Linked DNA regions of Astyanax mexicanus. The protein of the gene in region 2 purifies or fractionates together with the protein of the main gene of each other region. This does not show direct contact. Links are inferred from orthologs where the notes say so. Each region holds a gene or a part of one and is shown on either strand. Other genes may lie near its edges.

Evidence for each region.
Region 1: the proteins of josd2 (region 2) and ahcyl1 purify together in Homo sapiens (affinity purification with mass spectrometry; 4 studies listed by BioGRID and IntAct, counting the BioPlex papers as one, with this or other methods). This does not show direct contact. The link is inferred for Astyanax mexicanus from reciprocal best matches to the Homo sapiens genes JOSD2 and AHCYL1.
Region 3: the proteins of josd2 (region 2) and ahcyl2b purify together in Homo sapiens (affinity purification with mass spectrometry; 3 studies listed by BioGRID and IntAct, counting the BioPlex papers as one, with this or other methods). This does not show direct contact. The link is inferred for Astyanax mexicanus from reciprocal best matches to the Homo sapiens genes JOSD2 and AHCYL2.

Annotation. Positions count from the first base shown.
Region 1 is NC_064419.1:41,595,043-41,603,142, reverse strand, and holds the start of ahcyl1 (S-adenosylhomocysteine hydrolase-like protein 1), read left to right. Parts: upstream 1-4,619; 5' UTR 4,620-4,945; coding exon 4,946-5,131; intron 5,132-8,100. UniProt on the Homo sapiens protein: Multifaceted cellular regulator which coordinates several essential cellular functions including regulation of epithelial HCO3(-) and fluid secretion, mRNA processing and DNA replication.
Region 2 is NC_064413.1:7,914,231-7,922,877, forward strand, and holds the start of josd2 (josephin-2), read left to right. Parts: upstream 1-5,207; 5' UTR 5,208-5,379; intron 5,380-7,114; 5' UTR 7,115-7,142; coding exon 7,143-7,264; intron 7,265-7,626; coding exon 7,627-7,752; intron 7,753-8,647. Other genes in the region: ube2s (ubiquitin-conjugating enzyme E2 S), read right to left, coding at 2,192-2,194. UniProt on the Homo sapiens protein: Cleaves 'Lys-63'-linked poly-ubiquitin chains, and with lesser efficiency 'Lys-48'-linked poly-ubiquitin chains (in vitro). May act as a deubiquitinating enzyme.
Region 3 is NC_064409.1:14,490,344-14,499,195, reverse strand, and holds the start of ahcyl2b (adenosylhomocysteinase like 2b), read right to left. Parts: upstream 3,370-8,852; 5' UTR 3,309-3,369; coding exon 2,988-3,308; intron 1-2,987. Other genes in the region: tmem209 (transmembrane protein 209), read right to left, coding at 7,225-7,279, 7,424-7,497, 7,600-7,697, 8,357-8,471. UniProt on the Homo sapiens protein: May regulate the electrogenic sodium/bicarbonate cotransporter SLC4A4 activity and Mg(2+)-sensitivity. On the contrary of its homolog AHCYL1, does not regulate ITPR1 sensitivity to inositol 1,4,5-trisphosphate.

The DNA.
Region 1 (8,100 bases), on a different chromosome or scaffold from region 2:
TTTCGTAGCAGCAGGTTGAAGAACGACCTTCACCTTCTCCTCTTCACTTTCCTCCTGAATAACTCCTGAAGAAGCCCCTTGGAAATACAACCAGCCCCCAAAAATGGAGAAAAAATAAATACAGTGCATATTGTGAAACCAGCACTTAGGCCCTGTTCACACTACACGACTTTAGGCCTGATTCGACTGTATTTAGAGGCTTCCATTAAAACAACACTTTGTTGTTTGCTCGTTTTTTTCGGTGTGTAAACTGGTTAAAAAGAAAGGTATGATCCGAGTGAACAGTAAATATCTAGCAGGTTGAAAATCTGCACCTGTGGGCGACTCTAAATTCGGTACTGTGAAAAGTGTTGCAACTGGACGACTTGCTAGAGCACGGGGTGAGGAGAAAGCCGAGTCTTCATCCATTATTTTTTTTTGTACTTATTCATATTCTTTTGTTTTATTTCAGCGTGCTTTCGCTGTAAATCAGCACACAGACAATGTTGTATTGTATACATCTGGAATATGGTAGCACCTTAGTGCTTAGTGTTTTTGCATATGTTTTTGGCTACGTTCACACAGCAGGCAAGTGAAAGTGTCGCAAATAAATATATTTATTAAAGGCTGTTTACGCAATCTTTTAAAGGTGACCCATATGTGACATTTGCTTAAGCAGTTCATGTTTCTAAACTGAGTGCATGCTCAAAATTACAGCGCTTCAAGTGAAGTTTCGGTTTCATCTTTTTACAGAATCTCAGCAGCTATACAGCATTTTATCTCACTGTGAAAAATGGACTCAGAAAAATTACTCAGCCACGGACATTAATTTGATTTGGTTTGTGTCCTTGGTTTCTTTTAAGCTGTTTATTTTCCATTCTCACTGCATTCGGCCATTTTTTATGTTAAAAAACACAGTGATTGTGATACTAGCCTTCTAATTCACACTGCCACATAAGTGACGTCTGTCACGGATTTGTGCCACATTTACCTGCTGTGTGAACGCTGCCTTTGCCGTGTGTTCCTCTTGGTGAGAGACTCTTGTGTAATCCATGATTCTGTGTCGCCGATTACAACATTACAAGTTGACGACTCTGAAACTCGTGTAGTGTGAACCTGACATTACTTAATGCAGCTCCAGCCCAGTGTCTTTTGCCTCCTCTTTGCACGTTCAGCCATAAGTGAGGGCCTGGATTTAATCCTGGTTTTAACCAGTGCCAGTAGTGACAAGCAAAAAGGAGCATCATTACATTACCTTCAGAGATTAGCCAATAATTCGGTTTGTACAAAAGCTAAACTACAAGGCTAACGGGAAAACACAGGCTTGGATATCTGTGATATGTTCTTCAGAACTGACCATAGAACAAATGTACTGGGGTTAGTTGTTAGTGTATAAAGATTATTTTAAGTTACTCAGATTCATAATTTTGTCTCCTGCTTGTTTTTTTGTCATGTGGCGCTTTTGCATATGAACCAGAAAAAAAATGTTTTAAAAAGTAAGATGGGTAGTGAGGGTAGCGAGTCATGTGACCCAGTTAGTGCAAAACTGTGTTGTTGTTTTTTTCTTGTTGCATAATAACCCAAAGTGTATTGGTATATTGTGTGATCTGTGTAGTTGGTGTTTTTTTTTTTTGTTTTTCTTCAGTGAAAGAATGTGTTGAAAAGGGGAATGAAGAGGGGTGGGTTAAAGCATGGAATTTTGCAATTCATCCCCCTGTTCTCCAAGTGGGGGCTTCTTTCTGCCTCTGGCCCACAGCCTTGTACATTTATTGCTTGTAACATGAACACTTTTTTACATTCAAATTTTGATAATCTTAATGGAATTTGTAATTTAGATGAATTAGAGGAAAGTTGTCATACCGCAAAATCTACCATTGTTCTCTGTCGCCGATGGTCTTTTTGCACTACACGTCTTCCCATCTTATTTGAAACAGCCATTTTTTAATCCCTCTCCCCTAATTCTGCCCTGGCAGGTAAATGTAGATACTTTTTTTGAGGAATTACGTTAGACGTTGAAGTCTTTGAACATGCTGTATTTTGATTAAATTGTGTCCGGTCAGTGGCAAACATCCACATTTCGTGTGATCGTGCTTCCCCCCCCCCCCCCCCTCTCCCTGTCTAATCCGTGTGAGCGCTTGTAGTACTGTTTGAGGCTGTAAATGATCTTAATTCTGTGAAGTTGAGGTCTGTCCTGTAATCCTCTTAGCTCCGTGGAGTGAAAGCAGAGATTTTAGAGCCCTAATGTGCTGCCAGTTTCTTCATATTAGTTTCTGTTGCTCTACTGCATTCCTGCTCTGTGTTAGGAATATGTTTGTTTCAGTGCCTTTTGAGACCAAAGGCATTGTGTGAATGGTAACTTTACACCAAACTTCGGTTACAAGTCTAAGGCAGGGTTTGTAGGGCCGTGAAAAACCTGGAAAAGTCATTTGAAAAGAACAAGTTCTAGGCCTGAATACGTTTTGGAAACATACAAAAATACCCAGACAGTTTTGGTAAATGGTTATGGAAATTTGCAATTCACAAATGTGACTGAGATTTATCGACTGAGAAAAGCTATTTTAAGCTAACCAATACCTCAGCTTAGAGTTAATTCAGTAATTTAGCTTTACACAATGGAGCTCTCAGGATCTGACACCACGCACATTTTATTATTTTGAAGATTGTGTTAACATTGTTAATTTTTTTTTATATATATATAATTTTAGTTTTAGTTGATTTTTGGTTTTATTCTCCATGTCTGCACTGATGTTTTCCAAATATCAAATTTTTAATTTATTTGTGACATACATAGTAATACACAGTATGATCTGCAGTGAAGTGCTTGGAATGACAGTCTACTCACACAATATTATTAAGCTAAATTTTTTAACTTTTAAACTACACAATTTGAAGTGCTAAAATTCTAATGTACAAAATATCTAGGTAGAAAGAATAAAATACAACAGATTACAATATAAAAACCTGCAGTCAACAAAACATATAAACAAAGATAGCAAAAATAATTTAAACAAAAGAAAAAATGATAAAATTTACTTTAAATATAATTTATAAATAGAAAAAAAGTGTATGCTACAGCAAATGAGATAATGGACCGTGGCATTCCCACTTGTCTCATCATAGCACTACCTACTGTCATCACTTTCTTAACGATACGTAAACATATTAAACAAAGGATGTCCCAATCCAGTTCAGTTTATTGAGTATCAGCTGTTTTAATCACAGTCCAGTTCCAGCTCTGAGGAGAGTTCTCAGAAGGTAAATGAATTTTTTAAATTAGAGTCAGACTATAGTCTTTATTTTTTTCTACATATTTTATTATCCTACACCAGCTACTATTTGGGTGGTGGGTCATTCTGCATTCAGCACTGCAGTGAAACTGGCATGGTTTTGTTTTAGGTTTGTGCTGTACTGGTTCAATCTAGCAATCTAGAAACTCATCTGTTGTTGCTTCACAATTTGTGTTGGTCATCCTCTAGTTCAGCAGTGATCACAGGATGCTGCTCACAGGACACTGCCCACAGGGAGCTGTTGGCTGGGTACTTGGTTGGTGGCCTAATAAACAAAAAAATATGCAGAGAAAAAGTTACAGGACTACAGGCTGATACTAAATCTCCACATTGATTCTAATTGCTTAATGAAGCTGACAAAATTGAAAATGGATGTAGAAACAAGGAGATGGTCATAATATTCTGTATACATATACACCACTTCAGTTTCCAAATCAGTTTCTCTCATTTTGCTATTTATAGGTATATGTTTGAGTAAAATGAAAATTGTTGTTTTATTCTATAAACCACAGCCAACATTTCTCCTAAATTCCAAAAATATTATATTTAGAGCTTTTATGTGCAGAAAATGAGAAATTGATGAAATAACAAAAAAGAAGCAGAGCTTTTGGACCTCAAAAAATGCAAAGAAAACATGTTTATATTCCTAGAGTTAAGAGTTCAGAAATCAATATTTGGTGGAATAACCCTGGTTTTTATTCACAGTTTTTATGCATCTTGGCATTTTCTCCTCCACCAGTCTTACACACTGCTTTTGGATAACTTTATGCCTTTACTCCTGGTCCAAAAATTCAAGCAGTTCAGCTTGGTTTGATCTTCCTCTTGATTATATTCCAGAGGTTTTCAACTTGGTAAAATCAAGAAAAACATCATTAAGGTTTTACAGAGCTGTATATAGGCTCCTGTGGTGCGGCCTAAGCTTTTGTTCTTAATAGCATTTTTTCCCCTTATATTACTTTTACTGTTATACTTTAAGTAGTTTTATATCCAGTACTTTTACACTTGTTCTTGAGTAAAAAGCTTGAGATCATACTTCAAGTATGTATTTAAAACCTAGTATCTATACTTTCACCTTCAGAGGAATGAATGTGAATTCTTTTTACACTTTTGAGTCTCAGCCTAAAGTTGAAAACTAAACTTGACTCAAGTGAGTGAATCAAGGAATCGTTTATTCAGACGTTTGATTCCTTTAAACTGACTCTAACTCTTTTCTGCATCATTTCTCTCTAAACTACTGTACTAACTGCTCCACTGTCTGGCTTAGTATGATTTTTTTTAAGGTCACGTGACCGCCGCTCTCGCCCCGCCCCCCCGGTCTCTGCGTGCAGGTGCTTGTATGTAAGCCCCGCCCACTGCTGATGCTGCCTGCCTGTCCGGAGCCGGAGAGCCGCGAGTAATAATCTGTGATCAGCTCCGCTCTGAGAGAGAAACCCCGCCGGTAACCTCGAGCTCAGCACCGCCGCAGCGCGTCTACCGGCGCTTAGACCGAGACCGCGGCTTCTCTTCCGCAGCGACACTCCGTGTGTGTGTGGTGTTCTCGGCCGGAGCTCGCGCGCTTCCTCTGGAAGCGGTAGTTCGGTCAGAGCGCGGAGCTAGAGGACAAAACGGAAGGTTACGGGAACATTAGCGAACCGAGCGGTCCTAGTCCCGGCCCAACCGGAGAGACCCGCGAGCTCAGCATGACGGAACCCGGCGTGGAGGCGAAGCTGGAGGTGAAGCAGGCGAGCAAGGAGTTCAAGGAGAGCGAGAACGTGGCGGAGAAGTACTCCGCGATGACCGTCTCCAAGAACAGCGATGTGAACATGAACGTGGGCGAGCTGTCCGCCGCATTCACCGCCGTCCCCGCGCACAAGTCCGTCAAGAAGGTAAGAGAGCCGCTACCGGCTAACCGACACTACTGGCTAACTGACACTACTGTACCGGGGAGCGAGCTGATAATACCGGGGTAAAGCTCTGATAGCTGGGGCTGCTGTCAGACCGGGACAGGTAAACTAGATTCATCTTTCATCCTCACCCAGCAGCCCCACTCCCCCATTCTACTCACTATACTACACTATACTCACTATACTACACTCCCCATCCTGCTCACGATACCCTCTATACTACATTCTACACTTCCTATCCTGCTCACTATACTACACTCCTTATACTACGTTTTACTCACTATACTACACCTGACACTCCCCATCCTGCTCACTGTACTCACTATACTACAATATACTCACTACACTGCACTCCCTATCCTGCTCACTATACTACAATCCTTATACTACATTATACTCACTATAGTACATCTAACACTCCCCATCCTGCTCACTATACTACACTATACTTCACTCCCCATTCTGCTCACTATACTTACTGTACTGCACTATACTCATTATACTACAGCCGGCACTCCCCATCCTTCTCACTATACTACATTATACTCTCTATACTACACTCTATACTCCCTATCCTGCTCACTATACTACACTCCTTAAACATTACACTCACTATACTACACACGACACTCGCCATCCTGCTCACTATACTGCACTACACTACACTACTATACTACACGGTACTCATTATACTACACTGCACTCACTATACAACACCCCAACCCTCATACTCAATGTACTACACGCTACTCACTATATTCGCTATATTACACCCCAAACTTCATACTCCCCATACTCACTATATTGCAACCCCCTCATCATACTCAATGTACTACACTATACTTACTATATACCCTAACCATCATACTCACTGTACTACACTATACTCACTGTACTACACCCCAAACCTTATACTAACTATATTAGACTGCAACCCTCATATTAACCATACTCGTTATTTGCACTATACTACACCCCAACCCTCATACTCTCTATACTACACCCCAACCCTCATACTCACTATATCCTACACTCCAACAGGCTGACTATTGCTGTGTGCACACTTATAACTAAACATGCTATTTACCAGAACCCTTTATAATCTTATTCCACAGGTACTCACACAGTCCCAGTCAAACCTTTCAGAGACACCTCTTGTCATTCAATGTGTTATTTTTTATACTTTTAATGTCACAAACCTGTCATAAATGTTTAATTGTCATAAATCATCCTGCATATATACAGGACAATGCTGCTGATGTTTACAGGATAGTTTTCCAAATTAAAGTTTTTTTTTGTATAATTCTCATCCCAAATATATATATATATCTTATTTGTCTACTATTCTCATAGACTACACTGTGTTGGTCTTACAGTGAAGGACTTTTAACCTTTTTACAGTAAAAGCATTAATGTAAGAGCAGCAGACCTCAGACCTACCATTCTAAACATTTCAATAAATGTTGATTCAATGTCAGAATTTCAACACCCACCGATGCCTGTTGGGCAATGTTGAATAAATCTAGTTTAAATGTTTTTTCCCCCTCATCAACCTTTAAAGATGCAATGCATCCAAACAAATATTGTGTATTCAATGTTCTTTGCTGTTGGGAAAAGCCTGTAGCTAGAAATGATGGGATCTATATACAGTGGTAGAGAAAAAACTGTATAGTATAAGCTGAGGGATCAGCATGTCAGAAATGTCCGTCTATAACAGGCCTGCCTAACCTGCTCACAGAGGCACATCCACCCTGCAGAGTTTAGCTTAGTCCCAGTCCTGATCTACAGGTGTACAGGTGAAGCTCATAGGGAGGGGGATACGGGCAGGACTGGGCATCACTGTGGGCGAGTGTACGGCTACTGTAAACAGAAACGTTGTTGGTGCTTATTTTCTCTTCCAGGGATGTCAATGAACTCTTCATGATCAGCCAATACTGATCTGATCTTTTCTGTTTAAAACGAGGGATTCACTGAATTTCACACCAAATAATTTGTCCAGAAATGCAACAAAAATAATACATCCAGTGTTAAATAATTATTTTTAAATAGAGATGGCCCATTAGGTCCCATTGTTTTGATTGAGAATTTTTTAAACTCAGATTTTGCAAATATGATGCTGTGGTTTTTTTTGCAGTATGTCACATTGTTACAGTATTGTGATATACAGGGGTTGGACAATAAAACTGAAACACCTGTCATTTTAGTTCATTAATTGCACATTGCACCAGTAAGAGCAGAGTGTGAAGGTTTAATAAGCAGGGTAAGAGCACAGTTCTGTTCGAAATATTGCAATGCACACTATAACATTATGGGTGACATACCAGAGTTCAAAAGAGGACAAGTTGTTGGTGCACATCTTGCTGGTGCATCTGTGACCAAGACAGCAAGTCTTTTTGATGCATCAGGAGCCACGGTATCAAGGATAATGTCAGCATACCACCAAGAAGGACCAACCACATCCAACAGGATTAACTGTGGACGCTGTAAGAGGAAGCTGTCTGAAAGGGATGTTCGGGTGCTAACCCGGATTGTATCCAAAAAATATAAAACCACGGCTGATCAAATCACGGCAGAACTCAATGTGCACCTCAACTCTCCTGTTTCCACCAGAACTGTCCGTCAGGACAATAAATTATTGTGGTCTAAAACCAGCTGTTTCAGTTTCATTGTCCAACCCCTGTATTTAATTGTAACTACTGTATCGTAATATGTGTTAAATCGCCAAGTTCAGCTCTTTTTTATATTTGGAATCAGCCTCTTTAAAACACTCTTTAAAATACATCTTTTTACAGCCTCTTTAAAATACCTCCTACAGAACTTCACGGTTTGTCTCACAAAAAGAGCTTCTTATCCAGCACTAAAGTAATCATTTTGAATGGGACCCTGTTTGTTTTAGGACTGAATTTGTGCTGTGCTAATACATACCTACTGTACAGCCTAAAAGATGCACT
Region 2 (8,647 bases):
TTTAAAGGAAATTATGTTAATGTTATTAGGGTATGTGAATGAGGTCTGCTCTGATTGGTTGCATTAAATTTGACCAGTTTAGTTGAGCAGTTTAGAGTAGAATAACCCATTTAGTGCTATACGGTTACAACTAGATATCTATTGTATTATTGGGACTTAATTAAAGTCTATCTAGTAGGCTACCTGCTGATTTATTTGTATGCTGGCCCAAGGTAAGCTGGCAGACACTGGCTACCCTGCTTTGAAATTGAATGAATATTAAAAATATATTAAAACACATACATTTTAAAAAATGGCGTTCTAACACTAAGGTTTATGTTGTGACGAATTCTAGCTCTGTCAGAATCAGACTTCCCCTTACATAAGGATGCCTGCCACAGCAGAACGGATGAAAAAGATTATCAGCAAACTCCTTTATTTTTGTTTATAAATAAGGATAAATCTATTGTTACATTAATTAAATAAATTCAGTCCAAGCATTTGCGCCTATACTGCTGCTTGATGCGCCTGAGCGCAAAGGGAATGAGGTTTCGGCATGACACCAGCTCTTTTTCCTCTGGTTGGTTTAAAGACTGACTCAATTTCCTGTAAAAGATCCAAAAAAGTTGATCTATCTAGATAAGTGTTTCACACAGATGCAGATGAACCAGTAGATGCAGAATGAGAGCACCTCTTTAAGTCTGACCAAACTCTGGTCCTTTGGACTGGACCGTGGTTCACAACCCCTTTTACACCTGCAGTCTGGACCAAACAAGACAGGTGTGAAACACACACAAAAAGGCAGAAGACAGCCCATTTGATGCTGCATGATAACAATTGAATTCCAAATATATATTGTATTAAGGGACTCAATAATAAATCAGGCTGCCTAGAATTAAAAGGGTGGGTCTTTATATCTTTTGGTGGTATACAGAACACTAGTAAGTAGGAATGAACAATGATATCAATAAATTGTTTGTGGACAATATATTGTCCCATAAATTATAGCAATAAACAAGTTGTCATTTTAACACAATGGCACTGACAATGATAATCTATTAGCATAACAAATACATTATACTCATTTTAAGACAACATTTTAATTAATCATAGTTTGGTAAAATTAATCCTTTATTTTTCATCTCCTGCAGTTTGCACTGTGTGTATAAAGTCAGTTATTAAAGCATTGGTCATTGCATGACTGGCTAAAAAATGTTAACTGTCAATTATCATACAAACAAACAATAATCAAGAGTATCATATATTGTTAAGGTTGTGTTCACTTATTGTTGGATAACTCAATAAAGTAATTATAGTGACAAACATAACTTCAGTTGATAGACACGCTGCTATTTTAAAATACATTAAGTTCAGCCAATCTCTGTTATTAATTCTAAAAGTTACGAATTTATACCAGTATGTGAATTCTTGCTACAAGTTCAACGTGTATATCGGCAGATATGTACGTGTAATATTGAATCAGTATCAGCTCAGAAATTCCATATTGGTGGATCCCTACTTTTCAGACTTAAGTTTTATATTATGTTTTCACACTAATTATTAATACTGGATGGAATTGTATCTCTAAACACAAAATTATCGCCTTAGTCTAACAAATAAAAATATTAATTGTATTACCCTAAACATATGTTATATTGTTATGAAATTTAAATACAAAAAATGGATATAGCTAGTGGTCTTGAATAGCTAGCTAGGCTACAAAATTAGATTACTTTTGGAATTTAATCGAAAAAACAGCTAGGTTAAAATCAGTCAATTGTATCGTCAAGCCTTGAAGGTTAGCCTAGCCACGGCTGCTAGGTTAGCTTCTTATAGGTACTGACCATTCCACCTTAAATGAGGTGCCAGAAACCAGCCAGCTAAACTAATATAGTTCAGCTAGCTAAACTGCTAAGGAATTTAAGGGGAATATAAAAAAATATTAAAAACTTATTTAGCCACGACTGCTAGGTTAGCTTCTTATTAGTACTGACGCTTCCTTAAATGAGGTGACAGGGTTCAGCTAGACACACTAGTTAATTGCTAAGACATTTAAGGTGGAACGAACAATTTAAAAGAAATCAGAAGCGCTTTTACTAGCCAACACCAACCTAGTTAACTTAGGTTGGTGTTGGCTCCACGCCGAATGTGTTAGACAAATATTTTTGATGTATTTTATCAGAAAAGGAGTATTTAAGGTGGAATAACTTACCATTTTGTCTTTAGAGATGGAACTGTAGTTAACAACGTTAGGAAACTGAGCCTTGCTATAAACTGAGCGAGCAGGCTAACGATGTAGCTAAGCTAACCTAGCTAGCTTACTAGCTTATCTCAACACTCTGACACCTACTAGAGCAAACACCTAGCTAAGGAGCTAGCTATAACTTCAAGAAAGAAACGAACGACAATTTAAAATCGAATTAAACCGAATATGAGACTGTTTTCGGTTTCAGCGCCACTAAACTCTGCGTTAGCTCAGCCGGAGCCTGGAGTCAGATCAGTCTGCTCTATTGGAAGCGATTAGCCAGAGCGCTAATGCTAACTCCGCTAGTTTCTCGTCTCTGCTGGAGTTACCGGTCCCCAAACCCGGTTAAAATAAACTAAATAAACTGAAATAAAAGAAACGCAGGAGACTGCAGCGGTGTCGTTGCCTTACTCGCATCAGAAACCGGTTCTGACTTCTTCTTGGCGAGCTAACAGTTCTCTGCTTTTGACACAGGAACAAAAATACGAACAGAGAGAGCACGGCCGCTCCGCCAATCAGCTCCGGCAATAAAACCTGCCTGCAAAAGCCACCGCAGCCGTTCAACCAATCACAGCACACGCAAGGAGTGACGTCGCCGCTCTCAGCGACCACGCAGTCCAGCTGGACCGTAGAATGTGAAAAATGCTCCTCTGCGATTGGCCAGTTTGAATAACTCAGACCCGCCCACACACAGCAGGGGCGAGGCTAAGCATGCAAATATAACTTTCTTTCAATACATAAAAAAACTCTTTAAACGTATAAAGTTTATGTGATGTTTTATATCTTTTATAGAAAAATTAGGGTTCTTTTTTGAGGTTGTTTTTGTGACAGTCTCTGTAAAATACTGATTTATTAATGCTGCTTAATGATTCATAGTAATTAATTAAATAAATGCAATGAGTTTTCTCTACCTACCTACACACCTGCATACTTACATACATATATACTTACACACATATATATATATATATATTTATTGAGTGTGGGCACACACCACTGCCCCGCATCTGTGAGCGTTCCCAGTGTGACAGGACTGAATGTGATGGGGTTAAATGTGACAGGGTTAAGGAGCTGAGTGTGACAGAGTTGAGTATAAAATAGTTGAATGTGACCAGATTGAATATTATAGAATGGAATGTGACAGGTTTGAGTGTGATGGGGTTGAATGTGACTGGGTTGAGTGTGACTGGGTTGAATGTGACAGAGTTGAGTGATGGATGTTTTTGATTTTTCGTGTTCTGGATAAAATGTTTAGAAAAATTCTGAATTATTTGGTAGAAACAGGGACTGGTACGGTGGCCCTCTTTTGTCTATTTTTTATATTGTCTAATCTGGTCTTGAACATCACAATTTGTTTTTTGTCAAAGTATCTCAGATTCCTATGCTTGTTTAATTTTTTCATCCTTTAGCAGATCTGTGTTTAGTGAGGGCTGTGGCCAGTCTATTCAGTCCTCTAGATGGCGCTCCAATATACACAGTGCTTCAGCCTGCTCTCAGAATGCTCTGTTTACCTTAAGATTAGAGGATAAAGGTTGTGTGTTCTGTGAACTACAGTCCCACCACTTACACTGTGTATCTATTCTGAGGAGAGTAAAAAGCCAGTCTGAGATTCTATCTGATTGGGAAACTGAAGGTGTTTGTGATTAATAATATAATATTGGGAAACATGTAAGTCAGCCTGTCAGGGAGAATTATTGACCAGCATCAAAAGTCATTAGATGTTCTTTACAATAGAGTATTATCATCAGTAAGGACACAGAATACCCATCTTTTCTAATTCCATCAATATGGAACAATACCAAATTCTTCAGTACTGTAGACATACATTTAAAAGCTTTAAAACTCCACTTATATGACTTTTAAGAAATGTGTTCTGGCTGTAGAACACATCAGCATCAGAGCAACAATCAATCAGTTACAGTGAGAAATGCTAGCAAATCTGTTATCTAAAAACCTTTGTCGTAGAAGAAAAATGGAAATACATGGGTAGGCTTTCTTTATTTTTAGCAGAAATACTCAGGAATATCCTGAGCTAGTATATATTAAATTTGAGTTTTGTAGTATTATAAATGTAGTAAAATGCAGTATTTTTTGTTAACTTTGTCTAGAACTTAGAAATATGTCATATTCCAGTATAAACTTATTTATTTACTTATACATTATATTTTTTTATTTTGTTTAGTTGTCTAATCTTTACATTACTGTAGCCCATATAAATGTAAACAAATAAAACGAGGAAATAAAAGAACTTTTACCATTTTTATCATTTTTTCTATAGCAATATTTAATAATAACTTTAATCATAGACAGACAGTATTAATTTTGGTTATTCAAGACTTTTTTATATTCTTCATATATACTATATACTATATAGATTTTATGTATATTTTCAAATTTCAGATTCAGATTTTTCTACGTGAATAATATTATTTCCCAGCAATATTCTTTTTTCAGCAATAATAATTTATGTTGCTTTAAGAAAATATCGTCACAGTTCAGGGCGTCAACAACAACAATAGCGCTTCTTCCGGTGTTCTGTCGATTTTATGTTCAGGTACCAAAACCTGCCCCAAATAGAAGCAGGTAGGATCTTTCTATAGGCCAAAAGCATCATATATATATATATATATATATATATATATATATATATATATATATATATATATATATATATATATATATCAATTAAACAGAAGTATAGAATATCGATAGCAGAAGATATTTAGCAAAAATAGAGACATGTTAAAATCTGATAAGATTTTTTTTACTACTAATTTTTTTTGTGTTACTGTTATAAATTGCGAGTTACTCTTTTGTAACACTCAAGCATATAATAACAATAATAATCCGCTAAAAGTGTAAAATTCACACAAGAAAAACAGAATTATCATGAAAATCACATGAAAAGGTTCGAAACGTCTGAATCTGCGCATGCGCATAACGGCAAAGTAGCACATACAGGTGGGTAGCACTATTTGACAGGACACTTACACTCGCTCGGCTCTCAGCTAAATGCTAACACTCAGTAGCATCACCTCACTGAGGGCTGTCGGTTTAGATGTAAATGAAGCGTTTTTATAAGATTATATTTTATTTATGAACTCCTGAGATATCGGCTAAACGTCGTTTTAACTCGTAAGGATTCACAGTTAAAGGTAAGGACAGTTAACGGCTAACTATCTTAGCTAAAGTTAACTAACTAGGGGCGTGTGTGTTTCACTGAGTGCTGCTGTTGATTGGGTGATATTTATTTTTGTGTTATTAAATAATAATAAACGCTAAATATTAGTAGAGAGAGTGTGTTAAAAATGAGTGTGTCTGAGTGTGAATAAGTCCTTGATTGTTTTTTCGAGAAAACGACGTAAACGTTGGCTTTTTTCCACTATAATCATGTTTGAATTAGTCAGTTCCACCTTAAATTATATTATAAGCAATGCTGCGTTTAAGGCGGAACGGAAACTTCGAATGATAAACTAAACCCATTTTAGTGTTTCTAACTTACTTTAATTGTAAACTATGACTGTAACTAATATATGTTTTTGGTAGCTAGTCGATTAATCTGCCGATTATTTAGGTTGTTGACCCAAATCCCTCCCCATCATTTAATTTAATGGAGGCTTGTCTTGTGACATTATATTTAAAGGACCATTAGCGATTTATGTATTCAGTAATATCTCATAACATGACCAGAATGTGTCCTCAGATATTGATGAAACATACTGAGTTTTGGCAATGGCAGCCAATGACAGCTTCAACCAGTATGTTCTTATTTGATTTATACAGTATTTTATGGTATTCTGTGTGGGTTTTAGTCTCTGAATTCCCCCATACCTATTTCCACACTCCGGGTTGCCAGGTATACAACACAACAGCACCCAAACAGTGTACTGCATGAAAATGATTTAGATGACTATGTTTCTGCTGAACAGGTAATCACTGAGCTTCAGTAAGGTTAACTATCCATAGCTGGGAAATTTACCACCTCCATTATCTTAGAAGTAGAGGCGGACATTTGGAACCCAAACTAGTCAGCTAAGATCCGCCGCTGTTCTTATTAGGAGAAAAAAGGCCCTTTAAATTATAAGCACTAAGAATCTTAACTGGCAGAACTAAAATTTAAATACATGTATTTTGTAATATAAATATATATTAATCGAGGTCTGCGTTTTCCTCTCTTATAATAATAGTAATAATAATAATAATAATAATGATAGTAATTAGAGCTGGGTATCGTTTTTAAAATTGTCGATACCAGTAGCTATTCCCAGACAATACTTTTTTCGATACGTTTTTTTTTCTAAATTGTAACCAAAGAAAACAATCATTATTATTACATAGCATTTTTGTGGCACTTTATCAATTATTGTTCTTACGCATATTGCTGTGTGCATTTCACTTTTAAGAAGTTTTAGAAGAGGAAAAATTTCAGCATTACATTGACAAATTAATTTATATTTGTGATGTCAATCACTTAGAAAAAATTATAATATTTTTTAATGCTCTAGTTCCCTGTATTTTTGAGAGGGGGTGTAATAATAGTGCAGTATGGTTTAGGTCAGGCAGACTAGAGCTTTTTACTGTACTTTAATATCTCAGGTTAGGAGAGGCGGGAGACAGCGTGTTAGCAAGAGACAGTGCGAAAGCAAGCTAGGGTCTGAGACCAGACCCTTTTCAATTTATCACAGATAGTTTACTGGCTCAGGCTTTTATCTGCACTTTTATTATGAAATATTAATAATAAATATTAATACATTTGAGTAAAGAGCAATACAGGCTGGACTACTTAAGGATTATTCGTTAAAATGTAATAATTAGCATTTGTCTATTATGTTGACTAATTGTTAACACTGCTGTAATGATGTGTGTGTGTGTGTGTGTGTGTGTGTGTAGGTGGTCAGCTGCCTGTGTGTGAGGGAGAATGAGCGAGGTGGAGGTGTTTCATGAGAAGCAGAGGTTGGAGCTGTGCGCCATCCACGCATTAAACAACGTACTGCAGGAGAGAGTTTTCACTAAAGAGACGGCGGATGAGATCTGCAAGCGGTGAGAATACCCAGCCTCTTCACTCTTACTCACCTGTAGACTTCTGGAGAAATTTGTTTAAAAATTGCAATGTATTTTAGAAGGAAACTAAATATCGCGATACCCTTTTTTATATTATTATTATTATTATTATTATTATTATTATTATATTATATTTATTCTTCTGATAGAACGAAACTTTGTTATAGTTAAAGCTTAAACAATTTTATTAATGGAAAATATTGCATTTTTAAAAATAAAATAAATAAAAAAGCTGTTAGAAGAGAAGATATCTATAGCACTCATTTAGCAAGCACTTAGCCCCATAGCACCTAGGACACAGTTTTGGATAGACAAGATGTTATATTGTTTGTGTTTTTCAGCCTCGCCCCGCAGTGTGTGGTGAACCCGCACCGCTCGGTGTTGGGGACAGGGAACTATGATGTGAACGTGATTATGGCAGCGCTCCAGAGCCGGGGACTGGCCGCAGTGTGGTGGGACAAGCGAAGGTCAGTTTATCAATCATTTACCAAATACCACGTAAATCAAGCATAGTGATCTGTAATAGACACATGCTGCCTGCGTCTGTGGTGTACGCCTGATTACCACAGGCCCGTTGGTCCCATTTGGCTCAAAACACATAATTTTAAAAAAGTCAAACATGTTGGTGGTAGTATCATGGTCTTTGGGCTGATTTGCTGCTTCTGGCTCTTTAAAAAATTACTGTAATTTATGGAACCACGAATTATGCTTTCTACCTGTAAATCCTGAAAAGGTAATATGATTAAAAAAGCTAAAACAAAATGAATCTGTAAGGGGGCATTTTCACAACACGGTACCTGGTAGTTTAAGTGGTGTTCACTATTGACTTAGTAAATACGTGAAATCAGTAGCCTTATCTTATTTACCTATTAAATACACAGTACTTATCATAATGTAAAATAAAGTGTTACCCAAACTTTACTCTCCGTAGTATTAACAAACGATAGATAGCAGAATTGTCTTGGAGTAAGGTTTCGTTTTAAGCCCAGGTAGAGCTGGGCGATGAATCGATTTTATCGGTTAATTCGAATTTACGGTTAAGGACGCTGTGTTTTTATAAAAATCGATTTTCTCTGAGTTTTAATTTTCACCACTGACGCTCCCCTGTGGGGCCCGTACTTTAGACTGAGCTTAGCCCCGCCCCTCCCGCGCACCCCCGCCTCTCTCTCCCTCCCTCCTGCGAGCAACCCACACAACACACGCAACATGACGGCGGAGCTTTTGTTTAGGTTTTTGCGGCATCGGACATAGACCAAACAGGTTCTCGCTGTAAGGTGCGTTTAAACCAATTGCTTCTAAACATAGCAGCGCAACAAATTTATCTCTACACCTTAAACAGAAGCGGAGTGGGAGAAGTGCTGC
Region 3 (8,852 bases), on a different chromosome or scaffold from region 2:
ACAGATGCTAGATGGATGCTACAGCATGGCAAGCTGATTGTTGTAGTTGGTGCATCTAGAGTGGTTGCTGTGGTGTCCCAGGTAGTGGCTGTTGTACCCCCTATATGAATGGCTGGGTCTTTGGGTATTATATCAGCATTATACTCCAAAGTGCCACAATGCTGTATCCAATTCATTCCTATGGAGAAAGGAATCTGCAAATATCCATACTCATATCCATGCTACAGAAAACTGTAGTCCAGCATAAGCATTATACGAAAATATAAGAAAGAGAATTTATAAGGAATAAAAAAAGACCATTATCTGTCTCAGGGAAGGCAGTACTGTTAATCACATGCACCATTTCTATAATGCTAATACAGGAAAATCCAGCCTCACAAAACGTTTTTAATAAAGATGTCAGTGTGATCAAGTAAGGGGAAAATATGTATATACGATTCTTAACAAATCAGAATAATAAAAATAATAATAATAGTTTCTAAGCAGGTGCATACCTAGTGCCAACCAAGTGTAGCAGGACATATAAGTACGCATTTGCACAGAAATATATTTCTAGAGTTGTGCATCTGAACACACATCCCAGTTACAGACACTCCCTTGAGCAGCCCAGCAGGGAAAGCCAGCAGGGTGAAAATTCCATTAAGTACATGGTCTTCTCCCTGGCTGCTTAAAGCTTATGATAGAGAGGTTACAAATTCAGCAGGGTCACAGCTTATGCTGTGCTTATGCCCCTGCTGTGCTTTATGGATGGCTGGTGGTCACCAGCTAGGAATGACTCAGCATCACTGGCACAAAATGGTGGAGCAGGACGGATTTGCTGTTTTAGAAATGAGATGTTCCGAATAGTAAAATACCTGAAATGCTTTTCAGAACACAATTTCCTCCAGTGAGATCTGAGGGATGAATGCTGCTCTGCCTGGAGGAGCGAACATTTCACAAGATGTACTCTGTAAGCAAGCTAAGGAACATCCTCCTGTCTCTATGCTTTTTTCCCTCCCTCATAAACAGTGATGAGGAGACTGAATGTTCCAGCAGTTCCCAAGAACGATCTGAATGACCTTGCTGTAACAGTGTGTAGGCTGATGCTAAAGATTCCCCCATGGTAAGCCATGCAATGGATGATGAGTACAGATGCCACTTGCTGCCTTGCATGCTAAGAAGCCAGGAGTGCATTCTTTTATTAAAGAAGTCTACTGTACTTACACTTTAATACAGTATCTAAATGAATCTAAATAATAGCTGGTAATTACATATATTTATGAATGGCTTGAGATGCAGATGGTTGCTTAAGGCCACAAAGAAGCAAAAATCAGGGCTGTCAGTGGCTGAAGCAAACCTGGCACAACAAAAAGCTAGCATAATCGTAATAATTTGCTGACTAAAAATTTCATTGTCAATTATTTGTTAATTTGTAATGAGAAAATTGACCATAGCCAGCCTGTGATAAACTGCATTACATAGCTTTATGACTTAGGTGTCTACAGCTTACTGCTAGGGCAGAGGTTGCTTTTTGAATTCATTTATTTCATTGTTATTGTGATAACATGATGTTATTAAATAAAAAAAAATCAATCTGATTATGTTATCACTTTATATTTGTGTTTAATGTGTCAATTTAGTTTGATGTTAGAATGTATGCTATGCTATGTTTATTTATGTGAAGGCAGAGAATAAAACAGCAAGATGAATCAAAAACAGGAAGCAGATAGGTATGGAGGGCATTACAAATAATCGTTGAATAATAATAAAAAAAAATCGTCAGATTAGTGGACTACCAAAAAAATCGTTAGTTGAAACTTTATTTGCTACCTTTATGTAGCTTGTATGAAGCCAGCTATAAATTACGAGGCTACTGCATCGCACAGGTATTATTAGAACCAGGGTACCGGGCTTTAAATCAGCTTTAATTCAGCTTATTTGAGCTAGCTAATTAGGATATCTTTTCTATCAATTCTCACTTAATTATTATAACTGGCTTCATACATTTTGTGACAAATAAATTTCCACTACTTTTTCCATGTCTTCATGGCAAATTTTCATGACAATACGTTAAAACATCAGCGCAGACATGGACAATAAAACAAAACAAAAAACACTAAAACTATAAAGATAAAAAAAAACTTTAAGCAATGTTGACACGATCTTCAATAATAAAATATGTTAGATCGTGAGATCGCCATTGTAAAGGGCTATATTACTGAACTAAATCTGAGCTGATGTATTTGTTAGCTCAAAATAGCTTTTCTCAGTCGTTATATTTGCAGACTGTACATTTCCATGACTTTACCAAAACTATTATAATTTTTCCAAAGCTTATCCAGGCCTGGAACTTGCTATTTTCAAATTAAATTACTTTTCTAGGTTTTTCAGGACTGGTTCCTGTTATAACCTAGATAACCTAACGTTAGGTTAGCAAACGTTAAGTTAAGTTATTTTACCTTCAGGAGCGTTATAACAAACTTAATATTGTGGACACGCACCAGAGCTAATTATTTAAACCTAATTTAAGTCATACCTTAGTAAAAATAATAATTATTTAGTTCGTATACAAAAGCAAAAAATATAGCTAGCTAGCTCTAACGCTAAGCTATTGCGTTAGTCAACCTACCTTACACGTAATGTAACACACAGCGCCACGACAACGCACTGCGGACTACGTTATTAAATTGGCCACCTTTATTAAATGACCAAAAACTCGGTATTTAGCTAGTTAGGTTAATTATTCCGCATCTGTTCCCTGTTGTCAAACACACTAAATAAAGCAAGTGAGTCTGAATCCTGGCAAGGTGACAGACAGCCCTTTAATTCAGACCGTTAGCTATCCATGCTAACTACTAAACTAACGCCAGTGGTCTCCACACACACAATGACATAGCTAGCGCTAGCTCGGCAAGCTAACCTAACCAACACGCCAGGATGTTTCCCCACAGGTCCCGTTTTAAATAAAATAAACTCTTGACATATAACTAAAAACATGTCCGCCGTACCTTTTTCATCCGGGGAGCCTCCGCCACCGTGCCATCCCGGTTAACGAACGCCTCTCCGCCGTTCTGCTGCGGGTCCGGCCGCTTCATCGCGGACGCCTGGGGCATCTTCACTGCGTTCGGCGTCGAGCTGAGCGGACTCGGGTCCCCCTTCACCACCGCGGTGTCCGCTGTGGGGGACGGAGCCGAGGCGTTCAGCTCGCTGTTAGACAAACCCTTCTCCTCGGCTATGGGTGTCCGCGGCGACACGGCGCTCAGCTCTTTATTCGGGACGTCTTTTAATTCGACCTCGGCCATTTTCGCTGCTACAACCTGAACTGACATCGCTGCAATCCAGTCCTTTCTCACTCAGCACAGCGAAGAGACTCACGAGCCGACACCACTGGCTGAGAGATTAACCGCACAGCACTGTGGGACATGTAGTCTTCACCGACTCTCACTCGCAAAACTCTCACTCTGGTTCCTCACGATAATTCACCACAGAATATTTTTTTTATTTATACTAAAATAAATAAACAGTTTAATTGTTTCTCATCAAGTGGTATTTAGAATAAAAAGAAAGGCTAACACCTTATATATAAACCAGCAATGTTGTCAATTCAGTACACCAGAGTACTATACACCATGTGCTATTTATAGGTATATGTTTGAGTAAAATGAACATTGTTTTTTTATTCTATAGACTACGGACAACATTCATCCTAAATTCCAAATAAAAATGTTGTCATTTAGCTTTCAGACCTCAAATAATGCAAAGAAAACAAAGTTCATTTTCATAAAGATTTAAGAGTTTAGAAACATTTAGTGGAATACCCTGGGTTTTTAATCACAGTTTTCATGCATCTTGGCATGTTCTCCTCCACCAGTCTTACACACTGCTTATATCCCAGAGGTTTTCAATTTGGTAAAATCACAGAAACTCATCACTTTTAAGTGGTCACTTATTTTTTTCCAGAGCTGTAATATTTAGCCAGACACAATACTTCACTTACTGGAAGAAATAATTCACTCTACTGAACAAAAATGTGATAATTAGTTCATCCAATTTAGAGGGACACTTTAACTAAAACAAGGGAATGATTTATTAAACAAAGGAACATTTTATTAATGTGATAGTCTGGTTTAAATAAAGGAAACATTCTTTTCTACTAGAGTACGTACAATCTGTAAAACTTGAATAGGATTACTGTGATAAAAAAAAAAAAAAAACCTTCTTTGTCCCTAAAGCCACTGGACTGTAGGACAAGAGAACAGATGGGAAGGAGCAGTAGACCGATCATAACATAAACCAGACTATGTGCAATAATATTACACAAAGTGCAATAATTATGTGCAATACCTCTTTTGCTGAAACATTTCACTTTATTATATTTTTGTTCTATTCTTTGTGTGTACTATAATAATCCCTCCTAAATTGATCAATATGATCTATCTATGTATCTGTTTATTTCAAATAACCACAAATTAAAAAGAGATCACATACTTACACGCAATTATACACTGATCTTCACAATCACAAATGTTTTGTGTCTTACCTTTTTAGGATGCTGTAATTTTCTATGCTGTCCTTTTTGTAACACAATTGCAACCAAAATCTATGTAGAACTGGAATGTTAGAACAAGATATGACACATATTGCACAAATACCCACAGTAACCTTTAAAATGTCTCAAAACCACTAAATAACATAAGTCAAATGGGAGAAATATTATTTATATAAAGCACTAGAAAATGCCATTAACATGGATCACTGAGTGAAGTATTCCTGAACAATATACTGCCATCCAGTGGAGAAACGCACACACATTAATGCAGTCTAACAACCCCGCAGCATTACAGAAAATATTCATGCTTCTAACCTAGAACGACACAGAATGAGGGTCGACCAATGCACCAATTTCTTTAGTACAGTATGTTTTTTTTGCTGAAGTAAATGCCGACATTATTTTTCCTAATTTCTTTGCACAAGATCACAGAGCATGATAAACATATTGGTAATGCAAAAACAATAAATTCTCTTAAGAGATAAAAGTGAGGAGTGTAAATGATCTCAGATCAGCTGCACCACACTACCCATGGCAGACTTTTCAATTCCCAGACCAGGCTACACCAATTAAACCCTTGGGCAAACTTGTATGACTACACATTAAAAATGACAATATATTATAAAATGTGTGACAGGTATTCTATTTTATTTATTGGTGCAGAATTTTGTGTGATACACTATGGTTCAATTACCTGACCATACTACACCAATAAAAAAACTGTACATTCTTCTCTCTCTAACATTAATTAAAAGTAAATTGCTATGAATAAAATGAATAAGCTATGCATTAGATGAATCCCATGAATGCAAATGGTATAGAGTGAGCACCAACAAAAATGTTCACAATAAAGGACAATGGAATATTGGACAATGTGAAAAGTTTAATTTATTACAGTTCATTTCAGATCAAAATGTTGCTGTGCTTTTCCTAAAGAGCTGAAGATACAAATAGTTTTTTAGCAGGTGATGTTGGAAAAAACATTGACGTACACTGCCCTATAAGTGTTTACAAAAGCCCTTTTGCTAAAGTGAAGAGCAGCAAACAGTGCTCTGCCATGTAACAATCCAGCTGTGAAAGAGACTGTGACAAACATTTGAAGATGTTTACTCCCTTAACCTAAAGAGGTAAATGGTATAGAGCTTTTAGCATCACAATGTATTATTTGGCACTGCTTTAAAAAGTAACTACAGGTCTTATCTACTGCACATGTGCAAAATTACACAAAGTAAAACATACAGTACATCGCTGCTGCAAACCACAATCACATGCACAACAACAGAAGCTTTGGTGTTATTAAAATAATTACCCACTCCAACAGCCCTTGTCTGTGGAAAACTATGGTTAGCTACTTGGGTACTTTTGTAAACAAACCAATTGCCTCCTTTGGGAACAAAATCTCCAGGCTAGTGTTTAGGGCTGACTGCTTGCTCTGGAAAGAGCTTTAGCTGATGAAGATGGTGCAATCATTCAGAATGGGGTCAAGTGGTTCCACTTTTTAATATGAGGTTTAAGTAAAAGATATGAGCAAAAATATTAAAAACAGAAAGTGTCTGAAAAAAATAATTGCTTGTCTGATGCAGGGGTCACCAACTTTTCTCCTGGAGAGTTCAGGTCCAACCTTAAACTAACCAGTTCCACACAATCACTCTAAATTACAGCCTCAGGAGAGCCCGAATAGTTATATAGGATATGTGTGGGACTATGTTCAAACTGCAAGTTCAAATCCAATCTTTCGCATATCTAGACTGTATCCAAATTCTTTTGATAGTCTAGACTGCTAAAAATCACATGAAATCTAACTTTCGTAAACCTGATTACAATCAGATTTGTACAGATGCATCTGAGTCTGGATGCTCTCGACACTTAAATCAGATTCCAAAGTGTATTTTGCTTAACTTACAACACGATACACAACAAGCTCATCATATCAAGAGCGACAGAAGTGCAGGGATTCAACAAGAGTGTCAAAAATGACACACAAATCCAATCTGTTCACATTCAAATAATTTGTGAACAGTCACTTCAGACAGTTGATCTCCAAGAGCAGGATTGGTAACCAATGTTTTAATGGCACTGTGAGCAATGCCAGAGAAGAACCACTTTTCATGTTCCCTTAAAAGATCTAAAGAACTTAATGTAAAAACTCCTAGATCTATATTTATAAATCCAAAAGTGGTTCTTCAATAGCATATGCATATGAAACGTCTAAAGCACCTTTATATTAAAAATGCAGCACAGCATATACAATGCACACCAAGCTAAAGCCAAAGCCTGAGTAAACAATTCACATTCCCATATTTATATATAAAAAATACACCACTTTACACACATTCGAAAGAAAGTTCTGCAACATGCAGAATTATATACAAAGGCAGAACAGAACTGTTTCTCTGTCGACCCACTCTGTAATCTAAGCTCCTGCTAGTTTTCTGTAAAGAGTGTTGCTATTTAAAACCACATTCTTCCCAGAACTTAAAATTATTCAGTGTCTCACGCTGGGCTACAGCTGGGATAAAGTTCCTGGTTAAAGAACCAAAGCACTGTGCATGTCCCCTTAAAGCATGCAACGTCACTACAAATTCTACAAGTAAATAATAATAGTAAAAAAAGGCTTGTGCAGACTTGTGCAACATATTGCTCTTCAAGTGACCCCGTCAGTGTTCCAGTTACTTCAGCTGTAACTTGTGATGAGATTAGTTCCCAAATATCCAAAGAACATTCACTCCAGAAAGGCCCAGATTGACTCTCCTGCAAAGAAAAATTAAGAAACATGCTAAATAAATCTTTTCCATCCTGCGCTGTGAGATTCATGATCATTTCACAACTCTGAGCACTGAGAAAGTTACTCAACTCACGTTGAGTGCCAACAGAGAGGACTTAAATCACACTCACCCCAGCATCCCCGACTCCTTGGTTTTGATGATGAAAAGGAACATGAGGACCGTGTGGAACAAGTTATTTCTTCCCTGTACACAAAGGCACACCAAAAATGAGTCAGAGGAATGAAGGTAATTCTCCTCGGCTGCAATTGCAGGCACTGCGAGAGGTAAAGTAAGAACACACTGTACCTTAGGCAGGCTGTAGATGTGGCCCTGATAGATAAGCTGATAGTGGGGTGGGTTGGTGCTGCTTTGGTGAATGCAGAAGAGGTTCTCGTTGGAAAGATCTGTTTAAAACACACACAAAGTGGGCTTAAATAAAAAAAATGTAACTTGACTGTCAGCAGTTTTTGATGACACTGTGAACATTTGCTTAATACCGGGATTGGAAAACAAAAAAAAAAGTATAATGACATTCAATTTCTCTGATTTTGTTGATGTTTGAGTAAAATGAACATTGTTGTTTTATTCTATAAACTACAGAAAACATTTATTACAAACTTCAAACAAAAATACTGTCATTCAGAGCTTTCATTTGCAGAAAATGAGAAATAACAAAACAGACGAAGAACTTTCAGCCCTTAAATAATGCAAAGAAAACAAGTTCATATTCATAAAGTTTTAAGAGTGCAGAAATCAATATTTGGTGGAATAACCCTGGTTTTTAACTACAGTTTTCATGCATCTTGGCAAGTTCTCCTCCACCAGTCTTACACACTGCTTTAGGATAATGTTATGCCACTCCTAGTGCAAAAATGCCAGCAGTTCAGCTTGGTTTAATGGCTTGTGATCATCCATCTTTCTCTTGATTATATTGCAGTGTTTTTTATTTGGTAAAATCAAAAAAGCTCAAAGATACCATTATAGCACACAAAAATATCATACCTTTGTCACCATATATACATAACATAACATTGGACAGACTTTGTCTGTCTGACTGACTTACCTGGTTTGTGTGGTGTCTGAATAAAATGCTGTGATGTGAAGGTTTTCCCATCTGGGTACTTAGGGTGCGGAGGAAGTCTGGAGTCCAGGTATGTGCACAGAATATGCATAAGGATCTGCAAAAGAAGAAGACAAACACTCATTAAATCAGAACAATAAAATACACACGACTAATGTTGAAATGCACAGCTGTAGAATTTATACGATAAACATAACTATTTATATTTGCTCTTTAAAAGTATGTTAATACGGACAATAATATTAAACAATTACTATTACTTATTAAAGTATTGCTTTTAGAGTGAATAATCAGTACATAATCAAATTAAAAGTAGGTACTGAACATTCTGTTTTAACATTATCAACTCAAAATGAGACTGGGGCTCAAAAGGTTATTGCAATATCCCATATTATTGTCGCATGCAGGGGTTAAATATCAATATTTTATTGAAACAAAGGTGCTCTAAACTCCTTATGACTTGCCCCCAACATGACTT